2 linked regions of the Arabidopsis thaliana genome follow. The protein of the gene in region 1 interacts with the protein of each later gene in a biochemical or structural test. Each region holds a gene or a part of one and is shown on either strand. Other genes may lie near its edges.

Region 1 (4,389 bases):
GTGAACAGTTTAGTAATGAGAAGAGATAGGAAATAGACGTAAGAGGAAGCGATGGAGAGTAGTAGTACCGTTCTGAGTACGAACATCTTGGCCGGATTGTCTATCGCCGGAAATATCCGGATTTTGGGCGGAGATCGACATTATTCAGTTGTTATATGAACAGAAGAGGAGAAGCGAAAGGCTCTAGATCGGAGATCTGAGCTCTCGAGATAAAGTGCAGTGAGAGATTTTTCGCCTTTTATTGAATTGAAGCGAAAATGCTTCTCAAAAGTTTGTGAGAGTGAGAGACTCCGGCGGGTTTTTAACTTTCAAGGTTTCTGGGATGTACGGCCAGGGTATGAATGAAGCGGCGACGTTTTTATATTGGGCCGAAATAATATATACCCTCAAAGCCCATTTGTAATAAAGAGTTAAGCACGAATTATGGGCTTGGGGATTTAAAAAGAAGGCCATAAATGTCAATTTCAAAACATTTCATTAGTCTTCAGTACTTTGTCCGGTGCCAACGTTTCACATGTTTGAGTCTTACTTCTCTCGTGGGGAACTTTGGTTTCTGGATTTTTCAATAGTTCAGAAACTTTTTTTTGTATTATACTTTCAGATACTTACTACAACATTTCAGAGTTACTATTATGAACTTCTCAAATCTCAGTTACGGAAGAGATATAGGTGGTGATTGTGGAACTGTAATAAAGGTAGAGTTTGATTGCTAATATTGGCTCAAATTGAGATTATAAAAGTAAAAGAGATATGATCCAATACAGTTGAGATTTTAAAATCAGTTACAGTGATTTTTGAGAATCATGCGTTTAAAGGCTTGTAGAGCTTCTCAACCATCTTCCTGTACTCTGTATAACATTACAAGTTCAAGAAGACGAATATCATTATGAATCGAAAAATGGAGACGTCCAGAGATGTGTAATCTGATAACTATTGCAATTTTACCTTCTTGATTGCTCCAAAGCTGAGCCGCTTGATTGTTCAATGGTGAGCTGATGTTCGGTTCTGATCAATTAAAACAAAACAGGAAAAATCAGATACTGGATCAAACCAACAGAGAAATTCTTCATAAGTAACCTCAACAGTTATATCAGCCATAGAGTTTACCTCCGAGAAGGCTTTGAATTGAGAGTAATATCGTCCTCACATCATAAGCAGATGACCATTTATCCTACAAAAGATGTGAAAACAGATTCTGTTTTAAGTACTGCTTCTCTGATATGTGATTCCATGGGATTTACAGTAACACAAGTAGAAAGAGCAAGTGATTGTTATGTACCTGAAGAATGTCCAAGCAAATATTGCCATAGAGATCCACATTGGGGTGGAAGCAGCATGTCTCAAACTTAACTTTGGGAGACTTAAAAGGATAATCGTTAGAGAAAGTGAGTGAGAGTCTGTACTCAGTTCCTTCGAACACAGTATCTTTGCTTCCTGTAATTGTTCCTTTCCAGCAAAATATGTTGTCTTCCTCTGGAAACGCAGATATCCCCGGATCAGCTCCCATCTGCAATACATAAACCCAAAGGCCTCTATATAAGCATCCAACCATATCAACAGGTTCAGTTATGCAGAGAAAAGATAGCTTACCATCAATCCCATTAGTTCAGATTGCAGCCTGCAATTAAGGAAAAACAATGAATTAGCAAAACCATGAATTTGTTTGCTTTGATCAAGAAAGGGTACATAAAAGAAAGTACTTGAGATCTGTAGTACATACAAAGTTTGATGTATCATTCTCTTAGAGACATTATAACAAACAGTTGGTAGACAAAGAGAGAACCCATCATTTCAGAAGAGAACAAGAGAAGTCACAATCAGTTTTGGATCCATCGTTTTCTCTAAAAATGATCTAGAAAGCATGTAGACCACAAGAAATGGATATGGGTAGAGCCAAAACCTAATCTAATCTACCTAAAGAAACATGAACAACTCTATAAACAATCGCAGCGATTCTAATCATTAAGAGGCTAAAGACTAATTCCTTTAAATGGACGCGAGAATATTCCAAGATCGGAAAAATGTAAAAAAGAAATAACCTTTTTAGAACGGAGTGGCTATCGACGGTCTTAGTCGGAGGAGCAGATTGCTTTGATCCGGTGGCTGCCGGTGTAGTCGCCGCCGGAGTATTCCCTGTGTACCCATTAACCGTCGCCATCCTTTTTCGCCTCTTCTAATTGAACAAAGCAACAATCGTAGTCGAAATTTCTGAAATTGAAACGCTTTTTTCTCGAGAAGAATCAGATTCAAGAATGATCGAAACTGAAGAAGAAGGAGAAGAGAGATAGAGATAGAGATAGAGAGAGAGTTCTTCTTCTCTTCTTTGAGAGAGAGAGACGTGGGTCTGGGTTATAAAACGTGTACGACACAAGAAACGTCGTCGTTTTCAAAAGCAATAAAAAGGAATTATCCTAAAGCATTTTCCGAACGTTATCACTTAGGTTATAGCGGCTATTTTGATGCATTTGAATTGAAAATTCACCTACCTTATGTAACGGCTATTTAATCTTTCCAATGATAAAATTTGTTACAAAAATATGTAAAATGTTGAATCATGTAAAATGCTCAATAGATCAGAGATTTATGAGGTCTACAAGAGGAGAGGGTATCGAGAGCAAAGGATAAATCAAGATCTTGTTACAATATGATTCATCACAAGGACACACTATCTTTGAAACTAATTCCAAAGTTAAAGAGAGACACATTTCTATAGATACAATGATAACTTCCCTAGCTTTTCAAACCTATTGAGAAACATCACACTAAGAAGCCATCAGAGATGACTACACAAGATAAGGGGAGGGAGATGTACATACGGTACCGATCAACAATTGAGCTTAATGACTCGAGAGACTCTTTCAAAGAAGATGGGACACATACTTGTGCTGAACTTTATAACTTCTCTCATCCATTCCGGTGCCACTCTTTGAAATGTTCCGAGTGATGCAGGCTTGTAAAGCAGCTCAGATTCTTCACCATTTGGGTTATTTATAAAAGTTAGGCTGAAGGATAAACCTGTTATGGTAAAATAATCAGGGAAACAAAATCAGCATTGGTGCTTTTCTGGTGGCTGATGATCTCAAAAGATCTTTTGAATCAAAGTAAATAGATCATGCAGGAAAAACAAATTACCGGTTGTTGGGTGTGAGGCTACAATGCAGGCGCGTTTGCCCTTATTATTAGTTGATAATTTCATTCCTAGCAAGTGTTTGCCAAGAGCTTGAAATGTACAACTAGCAGAACTACTTGATCCATCGTAGGTTGTTCTGCAGCATTGTGGCTGAGAAACCAAGAGAGGCTCCTTGAAACAAAAGCAAGAAAAAGTATCAGTAAGGCTAATTTTATGATCCACTGGGTTTGTGAAGCAAGATGCACAACATTCAGCTCAGAACTGAAAGGTTAAGAGGTGATCTGTTTTACCTTTGCTTTATGATGTTTGCTAATGTCAGGTGATACCATATCCGTTTCCACCAAATCTTCTGACAGTCTGCTACGTTTTATCATGCTTCTCGTTGTAACTCGAGCACTTTCAGGAGTCTTTCTCTTTTGTTTTTTTCCACTTTGATCTTCATAGTTGCGAGGATGTTCCTCTTGGACCAGCTCTTTTAGCTTGACAACTTCTTCAGAAAGTGATTTGTCTGTAAGAAAAACAACAAAGATTTTATCCTAGACAGTATTATAACCAAGTCCTCATCACTCTCCATGAAGCAGTTCACATTATCTCAGCTAAATTCCTAACTAAACTACATATCATGTCCAATTATAAGGCTACATTCCATGACACATGAAAATAGAGCAGCAACTATCATCAATTAACATAGTTTCTTACTCTTTAGTTCTTCTTCCATGAGAAGCTTTTGACACTCCAGAAACTTGTCGTCCCTGCCAGATCTGTGGATCAAGATTGTTATAGTTACATTAGCAAGGCTCCAACTTCTCTAAATAAAAAAGAATGTCTGGGAAAATCAAGACGGTAAGGTGAAGTACATGCCTGATTGAAATGATTTCATTCCTCAACTTCTCAACCATCTCCAGAGAACTCTGATTTTCACCTCTCAAATGTTCCATCAACTCCTCTGAGGCTGCAAATAGCAAAAGAGAGAAAAGACAGACACACTAAGAACGTATTCACAGACTTAAAAGGTCTCTTGTTATAATTCTCGATTCCAAGTGTTTGTAATTGCAATGTGAAATCAAACCTAACTAGAGATATCTAAAATTCAAGTATGGAACAAAGGAACTCAAACTCAAAGAACGAATCTTTCGAAATTGGTACCTGAAACAAAGGTAAGGAATTTCTCTTCTTGTTCCTTATTAATCTCATCGTATTCGGAATATTTCTTCTTCTGAAAAAAAAGGAGATCGAAATCAAAATCGAACCCAGAAAAG
Region 2 (4,292 bases), on another chromosome or scaffold:
GCTTTTACAACAACAGTTCAAGATTTGGAATCGTTTTCTTTCTCCACCAATCGTAGTAATACTTCTTTTTGTGTTTGTTGAAATTTTGCAAGATTCTCTCTTCCTCTGGTTAATACACATAACTTACTTGGTAAGCTTGGCTGCATTTTCTTTTCAAGCTTTTAATCAAAGACTCACTAGAAATTGCAAAGGCAAACATAAAATTATGTGATCAAACTCCTACTGTGAGTTTTTGGTTACAAACAAAAGTTAAAAACAAAAGCTTGATATTTAAAAGATAAACTCAACACATATGCATTTGACTGGCGCACAGAAGACAATTCAAGACTTGGGAAAACAGTGAGCCATCAAAATCGTCAGATAATTCAGGGAATATATTGAATGTGGAGATGTGGTAATCACACTATTGCACACAAAGAGTGGCAAACAAGCGGCGCCCTTGGTTTGGTATAGTAAGAGACAATTGTTTTGGACTGTTTGTGTTGCCATATTCACAAAAATACTATTGAGCTATGTATGTTAAACATTATGGTCAATGAGTAGTAGTGAACATTCAAGTTTTTTTTTTTTTCCACTTCAAGTTTTTCATCTTATTATTATTTTTCGTTGTGATGCAGTAGTACGGCCCATCTTCACCAGTAGTATATCAAAGCCGAAACAGATGACAAATTGTTTAACATGCACTTGGATTATTATTGAGAGTTGAAATACAAAGGCCCGTTACAAGCCCAAACGAAGGTACATAAAAGAAAAGCAGAAAATGAAAACGAAATCGATAGGGATAAGTTTTTCCAACTGACGGAAACACAAACTACACCAGGTGAAATAGATCACCTCCCAAGTGCATGAGACACGAACCAACCACTTATCATCAGATCACAAAAAGCTTAGAAGCTTCCACCACGAAGACGAAGAACCAAGTGAAGAGTCGACTCCTTCTGGATGTTGTAATCTGCAAGTGTGCGACCATCCTCAAGCTGTTTTCCAGCGAAGATGAGTCTCTGTTGGTCTGGTGGGATCCCTTCCTTGTCCTGAATCTTAGCCTTGACATTATCGATGGTGTCTGAGCTTTCAACCTCCAGAGTAATGGTCTTTCCGGTAAGGGTCTTCACAAAGATCTGCATACCACCACGGAGACGAAGCACAAGATGAAGTGTCGACTCCTTTTGGATGTTGTAATCTGCAAGGGTGCGTCCATCTTCGAGCTGCTTACCGGCAAAGATAAGCCTCTGCTGATCCGGAGGAATTCCCTCTTTATCTTGGATCTTAGCTTTGACATTGTCAATGGTGTCTGAACTCTCAACCTCAAGGGTGATTGTTTTACCAGTGAGGGTCTTGACAAAGATTTGCATACCACCTCTGAGACGAAGCACCAAATGAAGGGTCGACTCCTTTTGAATGTTGTAGTCAGCAAGAGTTCTTCCGTCTTCAAGCTGCTTACCGGCAAAGATAAGTCTCTGCTGATCCGGAGGGATTCCTTCCTTGTCCTGGATCTTTGCTTTGACGTTGTCAATAGTGTCAGAGCTCTCAACCTCCAAAGTAATGGTCTTGCCAGTCAGAGTCTTGACAAAGATTTGCATACCACCTCTTAAACGGAGAACCAAATGAAGGGTTGATTCTTTCTGAATGTTGTAATCGGCCAAGGTACGGCCATCTTCTAGCTGTTTACCGGCGAATATTAATCTTTGCTGATCCGGAGGAATGCCTTCCTTGTCCTGAATCTTTGCCTTAACATTGTCGATGGTGTCAGAGCTCTCAACCTCGAGAGTGATAGTCTTGCCAGTGAGTGTTTTCACGAAGATTTGCATCTGAAATAAAACAATAGAACAAGTAGAAACCAATCAGCGAACATATACCAAATCAAAAGCCGTAAGAGAAATCAAAACAACACCAAAGAGAAACGGATCTAAACATAAGAAACCTAAAACAGAGAGAATCGAACAAAGAAAACACAAAAATTGAATAGATCGTCCTTGAAAATCCTAATTTCACAATCAAGCAAGAAATTACACAGATGTAAACACTACGAATCGATATCTTAGTAATCAGGACAAAATTTAGAAGCTGGATTGACGAAACGAACAATATTGTCAAAAGCAATTTATACAAAAGATTCAATAATCCACATAACAAAAATTGGAGATCAGATACGAATCAAAAACAAAAAGAATCAGAAAATATACCTTGAAAGAGAGAGTCGCGAGAGATTTGCAGAGATCGCTTTAGGCTTTGGGAGAGATTGAAGAGTCAGAAAAAGACGAAAGGATGAATTATTATCTTCCACACGAAGGTCTTCTTTATATCGCAAACCAAAAGCCCAAAACCGTCTTTTCTATTAATGAGAATAAAATATCTTTAGCCAAAACAAAAAAAGGAAGATATCAGTTGAGGATTATTATCACGAAACTAAAGGAAGGAATCATATGATACGTGTCATATTTTCCACCGTGCGTTTTTAAAAGACCGACTCAAGTAGAAACATCCTATGGTGGTGGTTGGATTAGGTCATCCATTACATCTGCTTCACTGACATTTTTCTATTTTTCTTTTTGTATATACTTTTCCTCAAATAATTTCTTTCTTTTCTATAGAAGAATTTAATCAATAAGGAAAAAGTTCAAAAAAGATTCTTTCCATTAAGACTATGTCTTGGTTAACCCAACCCATTAAGAATAAGCAATCATAATATATATAGAGAATACTAATACTATATATGAGATTTTTCTTTTAATTTCATGTTGATTATGATAGTTTATCTTCTTGATTTAATTTATCAATACTTGGCATAAAAGATTCTAATCTACTCTAATAAAGAAAAGAAAAAAAAGTATCTACCATTGACTAATTAAAATAAGGAAACTTATCTACCAAATTTGAGTATTTTTTAGAACAATCTTTTTGGTTTAATTCCAAAACTCTAAACCTAATTGTTGGGAAAAAGGACCTAATTTTTAAGAAAAGTTAATAATTAGAAGATCTGTATGTTTTTTTTTTTGATCCAAGTTTTTATTTCTTTTCTCTTTTTTTCATGATAAAATCTATGTTTTTTTAGTCTACAATTAAAGTAATTGTTATTATTTTCTTTATCTTTTTTTGTTGTTGTTGTTAATTCCCTTTTTTTTTTTTTAACAGCAACTTCTTAAAAAAAAAAACAGTTGGGCCTTGAATTTATTTCAGGCCTGCGTTATTAAGCCCAGATAATAACTCAAAACAAAAAAAATGTTGAACCGGAATAAACCCGCGAGATTAAATGCCGGTTTTCAGGTAACATAGAAGAAGAATATATGAGGATTGAAGAAGTATTCAAGAGGCGGAACAATTCACAAGTCCAAGAGCTTAAATTTCTCCTCACTCTTCTGCTACAGACTCGGAACTCTTTCTCTTTGCTAAAATAAGATGTTCAGGATTTTTGTTGCCCGACAATTCATGTATCTCACACTCTCTCTCTTCTCTGTTCTTACTACTCTGTTACATTACCACCAACTCAAGACTTTCTTCCACAATGGCGTTTATGAGACTTGGCTCCAAATCCGAAGCTTTCCATCGTGAAGGCCAAACCTGGTATTCTTTCTTCTGCATTGAATTAGACTAATCGACTTATAAGTCTTTGTTTCCGGTTTCGAGATCGAATTCTCTTCAATGTCGTTAATTTCTCTTGATTTTATATGTAATCAAGCTCTCATCTTTTTGTTGAAATCGAAATGGGCTCTTCCTAGAATCGTTAGTTATTGATGCAAGTTTCAAAGATCATATTTTTTTTGGAATTTAGCTCTGATTGATTTGTGACATCAATAATCAATTTTGTACGGACAAGTATATTCTGTTTTGGGTGGTGGTTTATGTCTCTCTCTTGTCTTACAGGCTTTGCACTACAGGACTCGTGAGTGATGTTACCATTGAAGTTGGAGACATGAAGTTTCATCTCCACAAGGTTAAATTTTCTCTATCTTCTCTGTTTATTTAGTCCTAGTTTTGATGTAATTGCATAAATGTGAAAGCTTGATGATCTAACTGTGTAATGTGTGTTCTTGATTTGTGTGTAGTTTCCGTTACTATCTAGAAGTGGGCTTCTTGAGAGGTTAATCGAAGAGTCTTCAACTGATGATGGATCAGGCTGTGTGTTGAGCTTAGATGAGATACCGGGAGGCGGCAAAACGTTTGAGCTTGTTACCAAATTCTGCTACGGTGTGAAAATTGAGCTTACTGCTTTCAATGTTGTTAGCCTTAGATGTGCAGCTGAGTACCTTGAGATGACTGATAACTATGGAGAAGGGAATCTTGTTGGTATGACT

What was found.
Region 2: the proteins of UBC19 (region 1) and UBQ3 form a complex in vitro, tested with the Arabidopsis thaliana proteins (one study listed by BioGRID).

Annotation. Positions count from the first base shown.
Region 1 is NC_003074.8:7,002,126-7,006,514, forward strand, and holds UBC19 (ubiquitin-conjugating enzyme19), read right to left. Parts: upstream 2,384-4,389; 5' UTR 2,159-2,383; coding exon 2,040-2,158; intron 1,721-2,039; exon of another isoform or gene 1,701-1,720; intron 1,619-1,700; coding exon 1,591-1,618; intron 1,508-1,590; coding exon 1,280-1,507; intron 1,172-1,279; coding exon 1,108-1,171; intron 1,006-1,107; coding exon 946-1,005; intron 849-945; coding exon 802-848; 3' UTR 572-801; downstream 1-571. Other genes in the region: TCP-1 (T-complex protein 1 alpha subunit), read right to left, coding at 69-141; TTN9 (titan9), read right to left, coding at 2,825-3,015, 3,133-3,301, 3,421-3,638, 3,830-3,891, 3,992-4,082, 4,277-4,346. UniProt on the Arabidopsis thaliana protein: Accepts the ubiquitin from the E1 complex and catalyzes its covalent attachment to other proteins. Part of the anaphase-promoting complex (APC). May have a key function during cell cycle and be involved in cyclin B1 degradation.
Region 2 is NC_003076.8:771,089-775,380, forward strand, and holds UBQ3 (polyubiquitin 3), read right to left. Parts: upstream 2,426-4,292; 5' UTR 2,184-2,425; exon of another isoform or gene 1,809-2,183; coding exon 888-1,808; 3' UTR 572-887; downstream 1-571. Other genes in the region: AT5G03250 (Phototropic-responsive NPH3 family protein), read left to right, coding at 3,503-3,561, 3,862-3,931, 4,044-4,292.